3 linked regions of the Macaca fascicularis genome follow. The protein of the gene in region 3 interacts with the protein of the main gene of each other region in a pairwise test. Links are inferred from orthologs where the notes say so. Each region holds a gene or a part of one and is shown on either strand. Other genes may lie near its edges. The genes, in order: FXR2, SSC5D and NECAB2.

Region 1 (3,652 bases), on a different chromosome or scaffold from region 3:
CGGAGCTTGCAGTGAGCTGAGATCCGGCCACCGCACTCCAGCCTGGGCGACAGAGCGAGACTCCATCTCAAAAAAAAAAAAAAAAAATCAGCGCACACTGGATTTTAGATGCTGTTACCACAAATGGAAGGCAAATCCCCTGAAACTGGGGATGTCCCTCAGAGTTTGGCTGATCATAACAGTGATGAAAGGGGAACTGTTGCATTTTACATTTCCACAGGCATGTAGCCTATGGAAATGACTTAGTGGCTGGATATGGTTTAGTTGGGGAGGAAGGAATATGAACCAACCAGAGAAAAGCCTAGAATCCTGGGAAAACGTGACATTTAGAAAGGGTGTACTCCACAGCCCTTACCTCCACTTCATCCCCTTCTGTGATCTCCTTATTATAGTCAGCTGGAGGTGGTAGTCGGACATCTCCAAAAGGAATTTGTCTCTCACTCTGCCAGCTGTAAGAGAAACAAGAATATGAAAAAGCTACTCTGACTGATATGGTTGCCCATTTCTTTACAAAAGGGTTATTGCCTCGGCTGGGCGATTCCCACCTATCTGGATAATCAGAGGCTAACCCCCAGGTCCTGCTCCATAGTGGTGCCATCCATCTCTTTCTAGACTCTAAATACTGGGCCAAACGCCCCCGCCCTCACCAAATTCTCAGCCCTTTCCTCTCCTGGGATCCATGTAAGTTCCCCACCCAAACCCTCAGGTCTCCCCACCTATTACATGCCTCATAGGACTCAGCCGCCCCCTCTTCTCCACTCTCCTTCTAGGACCTAGTATGCTGGATTCTCTATTCCCAAGGTCTTACTTGTTTTCAAAGAAGATGGTGACAGAGTCTTCATGGACATCCTTCACAAAGCCCTAGAATGGATTTTAGAAAAAAGTAAAAAATATAAAATGACCTTTTACTTCCACCTTAGCCACCAAGGGAATAGAGACACCACAAACCCTTAAACTTGAGTTTTAGATAGGGACACAAGTGGTGTAATGAGAGAGCCTGAAAGGCTGCACTGGGGAAAGAATATGGGCAGTCAGACAGAGAAAGGAAATTATATTGTCATGGAGAGGTGTATGTACCACCTGCATCAGAACAGCCTGGAAACCGGTGATCTACTCAGGCTCCCACAGGGGCCTCCCTATCTGTCTGCCTCCTGTTGTGCTGAGCAGCCTGCCAGAGTTCAATTAAAATACCAACAACATTCAGCAAGGCTAAGAATATCCCATGAGACAGTGTGAGGCTGTCCTGGAACACCTAGAGGACATGAGGATCTGTCAAGAGAGAGAAAGGCCTACCTCCGCAATACAGCAAGAGATCTGAGCAGACTCGCTGCCCTGATGCATGGGTCCTAAGACAATAATCAGAACACTAGACAAGTTCAAAATTGTGATGAACACAATTTACAGAAGGAAAAATTAAGACTTAAAATACATCAGAGTTTTTTAATACTAGAATTGAATCTAGAATGACACTGAAAATTTATAAAGGATAACAAAATGTATGGAAGACTCCAAACTTGATATTATGACAAGAGGAACAGGGACGACTGAACAGCTGATCCATCTCCTGTGGTCTATGTCCTCACTAAGGAGGCCAAAGCCATGAGTTCACCCCTGCGCTCCCAATTTTTCTACCTTCCCCCTATTTGTCACATACAATTAGGGATTTCTAATTTTGAAAAAGGTCTAGCTTATGAATTTATTATTTTATCAACTGTGCTTTTGGTTTCATATCTAAGAAATCTTTGCCCAGGCCAGGCACAGTGGCTCACACCTGTAATCCCAGCACTTTGGGAGACAAGGCAGGCCAATCATCTGAGGTCAGGAGTTCGAGACCAGCCTGGCCAACATGGTGAAACCCCATCTCTACTAAAAATACAAAACTTAGCCAGGCATGGTAGTGCATGCCTGTAATCCCAGCTACTTGGGAGGCTGAGGAAAGAGAATCACCTGAACCTGAGAGTCAGAGGTTGCAGTGAGCCAAGATCGTGCTATTGCACTCCAGGCTGGGCGACAAGAGCAAAACTCCATCTCAAAAAAAAGAAAAAAGAAATCTTTGCCTAATCCAAGGCCACAAAGGTTTTCCCTTATGTCTTCTTAAACTTTTAGTTTTTTGTTTTACATTTACATCTATACTCCTTTATTTTTAGACAGAGTCTCACTCTGTCACCCAGGCTAGAGTGCAATGGCACAATCTCTTGGCCCACTGCAACATCCACCCCCTGGGTTCAAGCAATTCTCCTGCCTCAGCCTCTCGAGTAGCTAAGGTTACAGGCAACCGCCACCATACCAGGCTAATTTTTCATATTTTTAGTAGATAGGGGGTTTTACCATGTTGGCCAGGCTCGTCTCGAACTCCTGACCTCAGCTGATCCACCCGCCTCGGCCTCCCAAAGCTGGGATTACAGATGTGAGCCACTGTGCCTAGCCCTATAATCCATTTTGAATTAAGTTTTACATATAAAGTGAGGTATTGATCAACGTTTTTTAAATTTTTTAATTTTTATTTATTTTTTTTGAGACAGAGTTTTGCTCTTGTTGCCCAGGCTGGAGTGCAATGGTGCAATTTTGGCTCACCGCAACCTCCGCCTCCCAGGTTCAAGCAATTCTGCCTCAGCCTCCCAAGTAGCTGGGATTACAGGCATGTGCCACCATGCTCAGCTAACTTTGTATTTTTAGTAGAGACAGGGTTTCTCCATGTTGGTCAGACTGGTCTCAAACTCCCGACCTGATCCACCCGCCTCAGCCTCCCAAAGTGCTGGGATTACAGGTATGAACCATTGTGCCTGGCCTCTTTTTTTAAAACATATTTTTATTTATTTATTTATTTTTTTTTTTGAGACGGAGTCTCGCTGTGTCGCCCAGGCTGGAGTGCAGTGGCCGGATTTCAGCTCACTGCAAGTTCCGCCTCCCGGGTTTACGCCACTCTCCTGCCTCCCCCTCCCAAATAGCTGGGACTACAGGCGTCCACCACCTTGCCCGGCTAGTTTTTTGTCCCGGCCAGTTTTTTGTACTTTTTAGTAGAGATGGGGTTTCACCATGTTAGCCAAGATGGTCTCGATCTCCTGACCTCGTGATTCGCCCGTCTTGGCTTCCCAAAGTGCTGGGATTACAGGCTTGAGCCTAAAACATATTTTTAAATAAAAAAAAAATTTTTTTAATAGAGACAGGGTTTCGCTGTGTTGCCCAGGCTGGTCTTAAACTCCTGGACTCAAGCAACACACCCGCCTTAGCCTCCAAGAATGTTGGGATTACAGGCGTGACCACTGTGCCCAGCCCATTTTTTACCTACAGATATCTTGTTCCACACTGCTTGTTGAAAAGACAAACAGTTCTTTCTGGCCAGGAGTGGTAGCTCATGCCTGTAATCCCAACACTGGGAGGCCAAGGCTGGCAGATCAGCTGAGGCCAGGAGTTTGAGATCAGTCTGGCCAATATGGCAAAACCCCATAGCTGCTACTACTACTACTACTACTGCTACTACTACTACTACTACTACTACTACTACTACTAATAATAATAATAATAAATAAATTAGCCAGGCGTGGTGGCACATGGCTGTAACCTCAGCTATTCAGGGTGGCTGAGGCATGAAAATCACTTGAAGCCAGGAGGCAGAGGCTGAAGTCAGTCAAGATCATGCCATCGCACTGCA
Region 2 (3,652 bases), on a different chromosome or scaffold from region 3:
CAGTTGTGCTTTCCCCAGGGAGCAGCAGGGCAGTCGGACAGCGAAGCCTCGGTCCCCACACAGGCCACATCATCTAGCCAGATGGGACCCGCACCCCAGCCAAAGCGGCCAGCAGCAGGGTCTGGCTGCCGAGGTCCACCACAGCCCAGCTCCCGGCAGACCACGACTGAGTCCCGCATGTCCCAGCTATCGTCACACACGGTCCCCCAGCGCTGGTCATGCCACACCTCCAGTCGACCTGAGCACTTGCTGGGCCCAGCCACCAGGCGCAGCTGGGGGGACCCTGGGGTAGAAGAGACCCAAAGAATTAAGAGTCAGGGAAGCCACCCAGCCTCCTGACTCTTCATCTACCTTTCCCTCCCTCCATCTTCCTTTCCATGCATCCATCCGTTCATCCATCTAGGCCTCCCCTCCATTCAACCATCCTTTCCTCCAGGCAGCAAATATTTAATGAAGCCTTTTTTGTGCCATTTTCTGCATTAGGCACGAGGGATGATGAGCCAGGCAGAGTTTGGAGGATCTTCAAAAAGCTACACATCGAATTACCATATAATCTAGAAAGTCTATAGTAGGGATATACCCAAAATAAACTGAAAACAGGTATTCAGACAGACACCGGTATGTGAATGTTCATAGCAGCACCATTCACAGTAGCCAAATAGTAGTGGTTGTACAACATTTTGAATGTATAAATACCACTTGAGTTGTATACTTAAACTGGTTAACTTTATATTACATGAATTTCACCTCAATTAAAATAAAAGTCTTTTTCCCTGCAATTGTTCACCACCCTTAATTTTCTCTCATTATTATTGGTTTAATAAGGGTTTTTTTTTCTTCTTTTTTAGATTTTATTTTCCTAACCACTAGACCACCAGGGATAATAAGGTGTTTTGTTGTTGTTTATGAGTCAGGCACAGCCTCTGCTTTGAAAAACTCTCGGTCTTTAGAAAAGGTAGTATGCACACACTTCATTGCAACTCAGCGAGCTAAAGGGAGTAGTGGAAGTACCAAAAAGGCAAGGCAGACACACAACGAGGAGAAGGTGAGAAAAATTCTGCCTGGGGAAGCTGGAGAAGCCTTCTCAGAGGAAGTCCTTTAAAAGACAGGAAGCAGCAGGCCAGGCACGGTGGCTCACGCCTGTAATTCCAGCAACTGTGGGAGGCTGAGGCAGGCAGATCACCTGAGATCAGGAGGTCGAGACCAGCCTGGCCAACGTGGAGAAACTCTGTCTCTACTAAAAATACAAAAATTAGCCAGGCATGGGCCAGGCGCGGTGGCTCACGCCTGTAATCCCAGCTACTCAGGAGGCTGAGGCAGGAGAATCACTTGAACCTGGGAGGCAGAGGTTGCAGTGAGCAACCACTACACTCCAGCCTTGGTGACAGAGTGAGACCCTGTTTTTTTTTTTTTTTTTTTAAAAAAAAGGCTGGTAAAAATGGTAAATTTTATGTCATGTATGTTTTATCACAATTTTTTTAAAAGAATGTGAGCCCTGGAACAAGCGTTTTTGCTTGAATCCTGGCTCTCCCATTTCTCAGCTGCGCTGCCTCATCTGTAACATGAAGACCTGTCAATGCCCACACCGCAGTGGCTGCGAGCGTCACCTGGACTGAGACATGGAGAGAACTGGGAACAGCATCAGTGACCAGGAGCCAGCGCATGCTCGATCAGTGTTAGCTGACATTATTATTCAGGAAAAGGGGAAAGAGGCCTCTGGGAATGGTGACCATGGTGAAAACAAGTTGCTGCTTTTGTTCGGCCTTTTCCCGTCTTGAGGAGACAGCTGTGTTAACCACGCCTTCTTATTTTCTGTATTTCTGATGCTTTGACATCTTGGAGCATTCCTGATCCTGAGGGACTGCCCCTCCCAGGGTTAGCTAATTCCTAGAGATGGTAAACGGCTTGAGCATGCCTTCTGTGTGCAAACCACCCTCTCCACGGGGCTCTCACACCCTGGGCCACTCTGCACCTGTCCTCACTGCTGCAGGGCCAGGTACCAGCCGACTGAGGACAACGCTTCTGAGCCACCCCCACCCCCCACCGAAATTCTTCAAAACAGCCAATTCTAAGCCTGCTTGCCCTGTCTCACCTATTCCTTCCTGCAAAAAACACAAGAAAGACCCCTGCACCTGGCCGGGCATGGTGGCTCACGCCTCTAATCCCAGCACTTCGGGAGGCCAAGACAGGAGGATCACTTGAGGCCAGGAATTTGAGACCAACCTGGACAATAGTGAGGACCTGTCTCTACAGAAAAAAAAAACTTAGCTGGGCACGGTGGCATGCAGCTGTAGTCTTAGTTACCCAGGAGGCGGAGGTGGGAGGATCACTTGAGCCCAGGCGTTTGAGGCTGCAGGGAGCTGTGACTATACCACCGCACTCCAGCCTGGGCAACCAAGTGAGACCCTGTCTCTAAATAAATATATAGATAAAGATTCCTGCCATGCCTCCCTCTCACTCCCTCTACCTCCTGCCTGGCCCTGGTGCTTCCCTGTGTGACCCCGTGTGGCACGCCGTTCTCTCGAGAACCGTGAGTCACAATCTTTTTAGTGGCTGTCATCTCCTGATCTCCTGGCCTCACCGCACCTGGGTAATAATAACACCTATATTTTAAAACAACAGTCCTTTCAATACTCATGACAGAGGCCAGGCGCGGTGGCTCACACCTCCAATCCCAGCACTTTGGGAGGCCGAGGTGGGCAGACGGTTTGAGCTCAGGAGTTCGAGACCAGCCTGGGCAACATGGCAAAACCCCATCTCTGCAAAAAATACAAAAAATTAGTAGTCCCAGCTACTCAGGAAGCTGAGGTGGGAGGATTACTTGAGCTTGCAGGTTGAGGCTTCAGTGAGCCATGATCATACCACTGCACTCCAGCCTGAGTGACAGAATGAAATCCTATCTCAAAAAAAGAAAAGAAAACAAAACAAAACAAAAACTGGTGGAAAGGAGGCAGGCAGAGCCATTGATCATATTTGCTAAAGAACTAGAGACTCTGGAAAGTAAAGGTAATGTTTGAGCAGGGCTGTTCCTTCAAGCTGGCCCAAGTACCCCATGATGGATCCTACAGCCACACCGTGCAGCTTGGGAATAGAGCAGACCCAGCCCACCATCCTTTCTCTTATCGAGGACTGGTTACAGAATTTTGGGGGCTCAGTCAATGATGAAAGTCAGGACCCCTTGTTCAAAAATTATCACACGCTTCCAGACATGACAGCAGAGCATTGAACCCAGCTCAATGTCCTGGGTGAGGCCCCTGTGCTCCTCTTCTCCACCTTTCTCTTTGCAAGAGGCCCCCCATAAGACAGTCTCAGAGCTGAGAGAAGAAAACAGAAGGAAGGACCTTGTTTTCTTGGGGAGCATGGAGGGACTCACCGGCTTCCGGTCCGGGCTCCCAAAGGACAGTAGGGGAGGCTGGAGGAGTTGAAACGCCTGCCGTCCCCGGAGCCTGGCTCGTCATGGTGGACGGGGGCCTGGAGGCAGCCTCCCTGGGCGTGGAGTTGTTGCTGTCCATGGGGGCCGTGGGAGGGACATAGCCCAGGGGCATGCCTGTGGAGCAGGGGATAAGTGATTGCCACCCACACACACCATCCGGGAGCTGGAGCCGGCATCCCCACCTCCCGCATCATCCTTCTTCAGTCCTCTCAGCGGCAC
Region 3 (2,680 bases):
ACTAAGTTTTTCTTGTCAGTGGATGTGCTGTGTCTCTGGGCCCTGGAGGCAGCTGTGGACATGGGTGGGGACTGGGTAAACAACTCGTCCGTTTTCCCCGTTTGTGGGGGCTACCTCTGCACTGGGCTCTTGAGGTTCTAGTCCTTTCTTATACTTTTCATTATACAATGAAAAGTCGGGGAGGTTTATTTAGACCAAGGGAGGGAGGTCATGGACGCCGGATGGGGTCTTTAGGGAGAAGTTCTGGCATGGAGCCCCACACTGACTCCTGCTGTGGCCCGGCAGCACCTGCAGCTGGTCCGGCAGGAGATGGCCGTGTGCCCCGAGCAACTCAGCGAGTTTCTGGACTCCCTGCGCCCGTATCTGCGGGGGACTGCCGGAGCGAGGAGCTGCTTCCAGTGAGTGAGCTGCTGAAGCGTGAGTGGGAGGGATGGTGGCAGGGAGCTCTGCCTGGCAGTGGAGGAACAGCGCGGGACTAGGCTTACCCCTAAGTACAAATCGCACCCCAGGGAGACACATAGCTGGGTGAATAAGAACTGGGTTCAGGTCATGCAAACGTGGCAGGTGCCTTCATCTCCCTGTCCTCAGCTCATTCATCTGTAAAAGGGGGGGGCCACCCCCAGGACTCCTTGTTGGGGTGATCACGATTCATATACAATCAAGTGTGTGAATCTCAAGTGTGAACGGCTCTGGCCGGGCCTGGTGTGCCACGTGCGCTCAGTCAGCCTTAGCTGTTGCTCTTGCAGGAGTTGCTGCTTAACACCAGGCCCAGAATGTAGTGTGTGCTCAGTTAACAACCGAGAAAGGAAAGGAGAGTCGAGTCGGTGAGGCTGAAGGGAAATGCCCAAAAAATGTAGCCGCCCCTCTCCCCTTCCCCACGGATGTGCTGAGATGGAAACGTAGCGGCCATTCTCTCCCTCCTCCCTATGGGTCTGTGGTGAGATGTCTAGGGCGGGGCAAGGGGCCTCACCCTCAAATTCCCGTTCATCCCCCCAGGATTATGTAGCTCCTTGGTAAAGCTAGGCCATGGCCACAGGGGAGGGGTCCACAGAAGACAACAGCCGTTTGTTCTTGCTGGTAGTAGCCCTTAAAGAGCATGAGGCCCAGGTGTTTCCCCTGCCCTTCATTTCTACACCAAGGCTCTGCCCAACTCCCTCCCTTTCCAGGGCTTTCTTCCATCCCCAGGGCACACATTCATTCGCCCTGTTGCCTGGGGGCATGGCTGTGAACGAGGCAGGCCAGGTCCTGCACGGGGTCTTCCTGGGCCCCCTGTGCACTGAGGCCTGACCTGTAGCACTAGGGGAGGAGCAGCCTGGGCAGGAGTGCGGCTGTTGCGGAGACCCAGGGTGGCCATCAGGGGCCACGCTTGAGTAAGTAGCCAGGGTGGTGGGCAGGACCCACTCCCATCCAGCAGGACAGACTGTATAGGAGCAGGGGCCAGACTTGATCTTTTCTCTGTTACATGAAGTGGGAGACCCCAGAGTGAAGTAGGGCCACCCCGATAGGCTGTGGAGAGGAGGCAAGGTGGATATAGAGGCTCTGGTTTCGGAGCCTCAGTAGAAGACAGTGCTGTTTGTTGAACTGGAGACGGCCAGCTTGGAGAGCCAGGCGAGACTGCACTTGCCAGGCACAGTGTACCTAACGCTGCACAGCGGTGTGTCTGTCCCCCTCCCTCCAGGCTGAGCACTGTTACCCCTCATCCCCTGCTCTTGCCCCCCCGCCCTTTTATGGTCACTTGGGGCTTCCTCATTGTAGTGCACTTGCAGAGAGAAGCCCGGAGCGGCATAGCCTATCTGCGCCTTTAAAATGAGGTGAGTGCTGTCCTCTGGGTCCCAAAGAGTGAAGGGGGACTTGCTTGCAGCCCCTTCCTCTGTGAATGCCCCCCTCCCGCAGCCTCCTTCGGTCAGGTACAGTGCAGTGGGGTTGTTGCAAGGATTAAATAAGATGACAATTAGGAGGAAGATGCTTTGATAATTTAAAGATAGGGTTTATATGTATATATATATTTTTTGTTTTTGAGACCAAATCTTGCTTTGTGGCCCAGGCAGGAGTGTAGTGGTGGAAGCTCAGCTCACTGCAGCCTCTACCCACCAGGTTCAAGTGAGTCTCAAGCCTCAGCCTCCTGCGTAACTGGGATTACAGGCCTATGGCACCAGGCCTGGCAACTTTTTAAGAGACCAGGTTTTGCCATTTTGGCTAGGCTGGTCTTGAATTTCTGGCCTCAAGTAACCCACCTGCCTCGGCCCCTCAAGACTTCCCAAGTTCTGGGATTACAGGTGTGAACCATCACACGCAGCCACCTGGTTTTGTTTAAATAAAGGTGAAGATTTTAACATGACATTTCAGCTGGGCACAGTGGCTGAAGTTTGTAATCCCAGCAGTTTGGAAGCCAAGGCGAGAGGACTGCCTGAGCCCAGGCGTTCAAGACCAGCGTGGGGACCATAGCAAGACCCCAGCTCTACTAGGACATTTTTTGAATTAGCCAGGCCAAGTGGTGCACACCTATAGTCCCAGCTACGTGGGAGGCTGAAGTGATTGTGCCACTGCACTCCAGCCTGGGCAACAGAGTGAGACCCTGTCTCAAAAAAACTACATGTCATTGAGAAATAGCTATTGGCCACTATAAGAAACCAGGCCTTGTTCCAGGTGGTGGGGGCACCCTGTTGAGTCTCGCTGGAGG

What was found.
Region 1: the proteins of NECAB2 (region 3) and FXR2 interact in a two-hybrid assay, tested with the Homo sapiens proteins (2 studies listed by BioGRID and IntAct). The link is inferred for Macaca fascicularis from reciprocal best matches to the Homo sapiens genes NECAB2 and FXR2.
Region 2: the proteins of NECAB2 (region 3) and SSC5D interact in binary tests that used the Homo sapiens proteins (3 or more experiments, as listed by UniProt). The two-hybrid records come from large-scale screens. The link is inferred for Macaca fascicularis from reciprocal best matches to the Homo sapiens genes NECAB2 and SSC5D.

The regions. Positions count from the first base shown.
Region 1 is NC_088390.1:7,657,136-7,660,787, forward strand, and holds part of FXR2 (RNA-binding protein FXR2), read right to left. Parts: intron 862-3,652; coding exon 809-861; intron 450-808; coding exon 356-449; intron 1-355. UniProt on the Homo sapiens protein: mRNA-binding protein that acts as a regulator of mRNAs translation and/or stability, and which is required for adult hippocampal neurogenesis. Specifically binds to AU-rich elements (AREs) in the 3'-UTR of target mRNAs.
Region 2 is NC_088393.1:63,443,817-63,447,468, reverse strand, and holds part of SSC5D (soluble scavenger receptor cysteine-rich domain-containing protein SSC5D), read right to left. Parts: intron 3,548-3,652; coding exon 3,374-3,547; intron 284-3,373; coding exon 1-283.
Region 3 is NC_088394.1:79,873,274-79,875,953, forward strand, and holds part of NECAB2 (N-terminal EF-hand calcium-binding protein 2), read left to right. Parts: intron 1-285; coding exon 286-398; intron 399-2,680. UniProt on the Homo sapiens protein: May act as a signaling scaffold protein that senses intracellular calcium.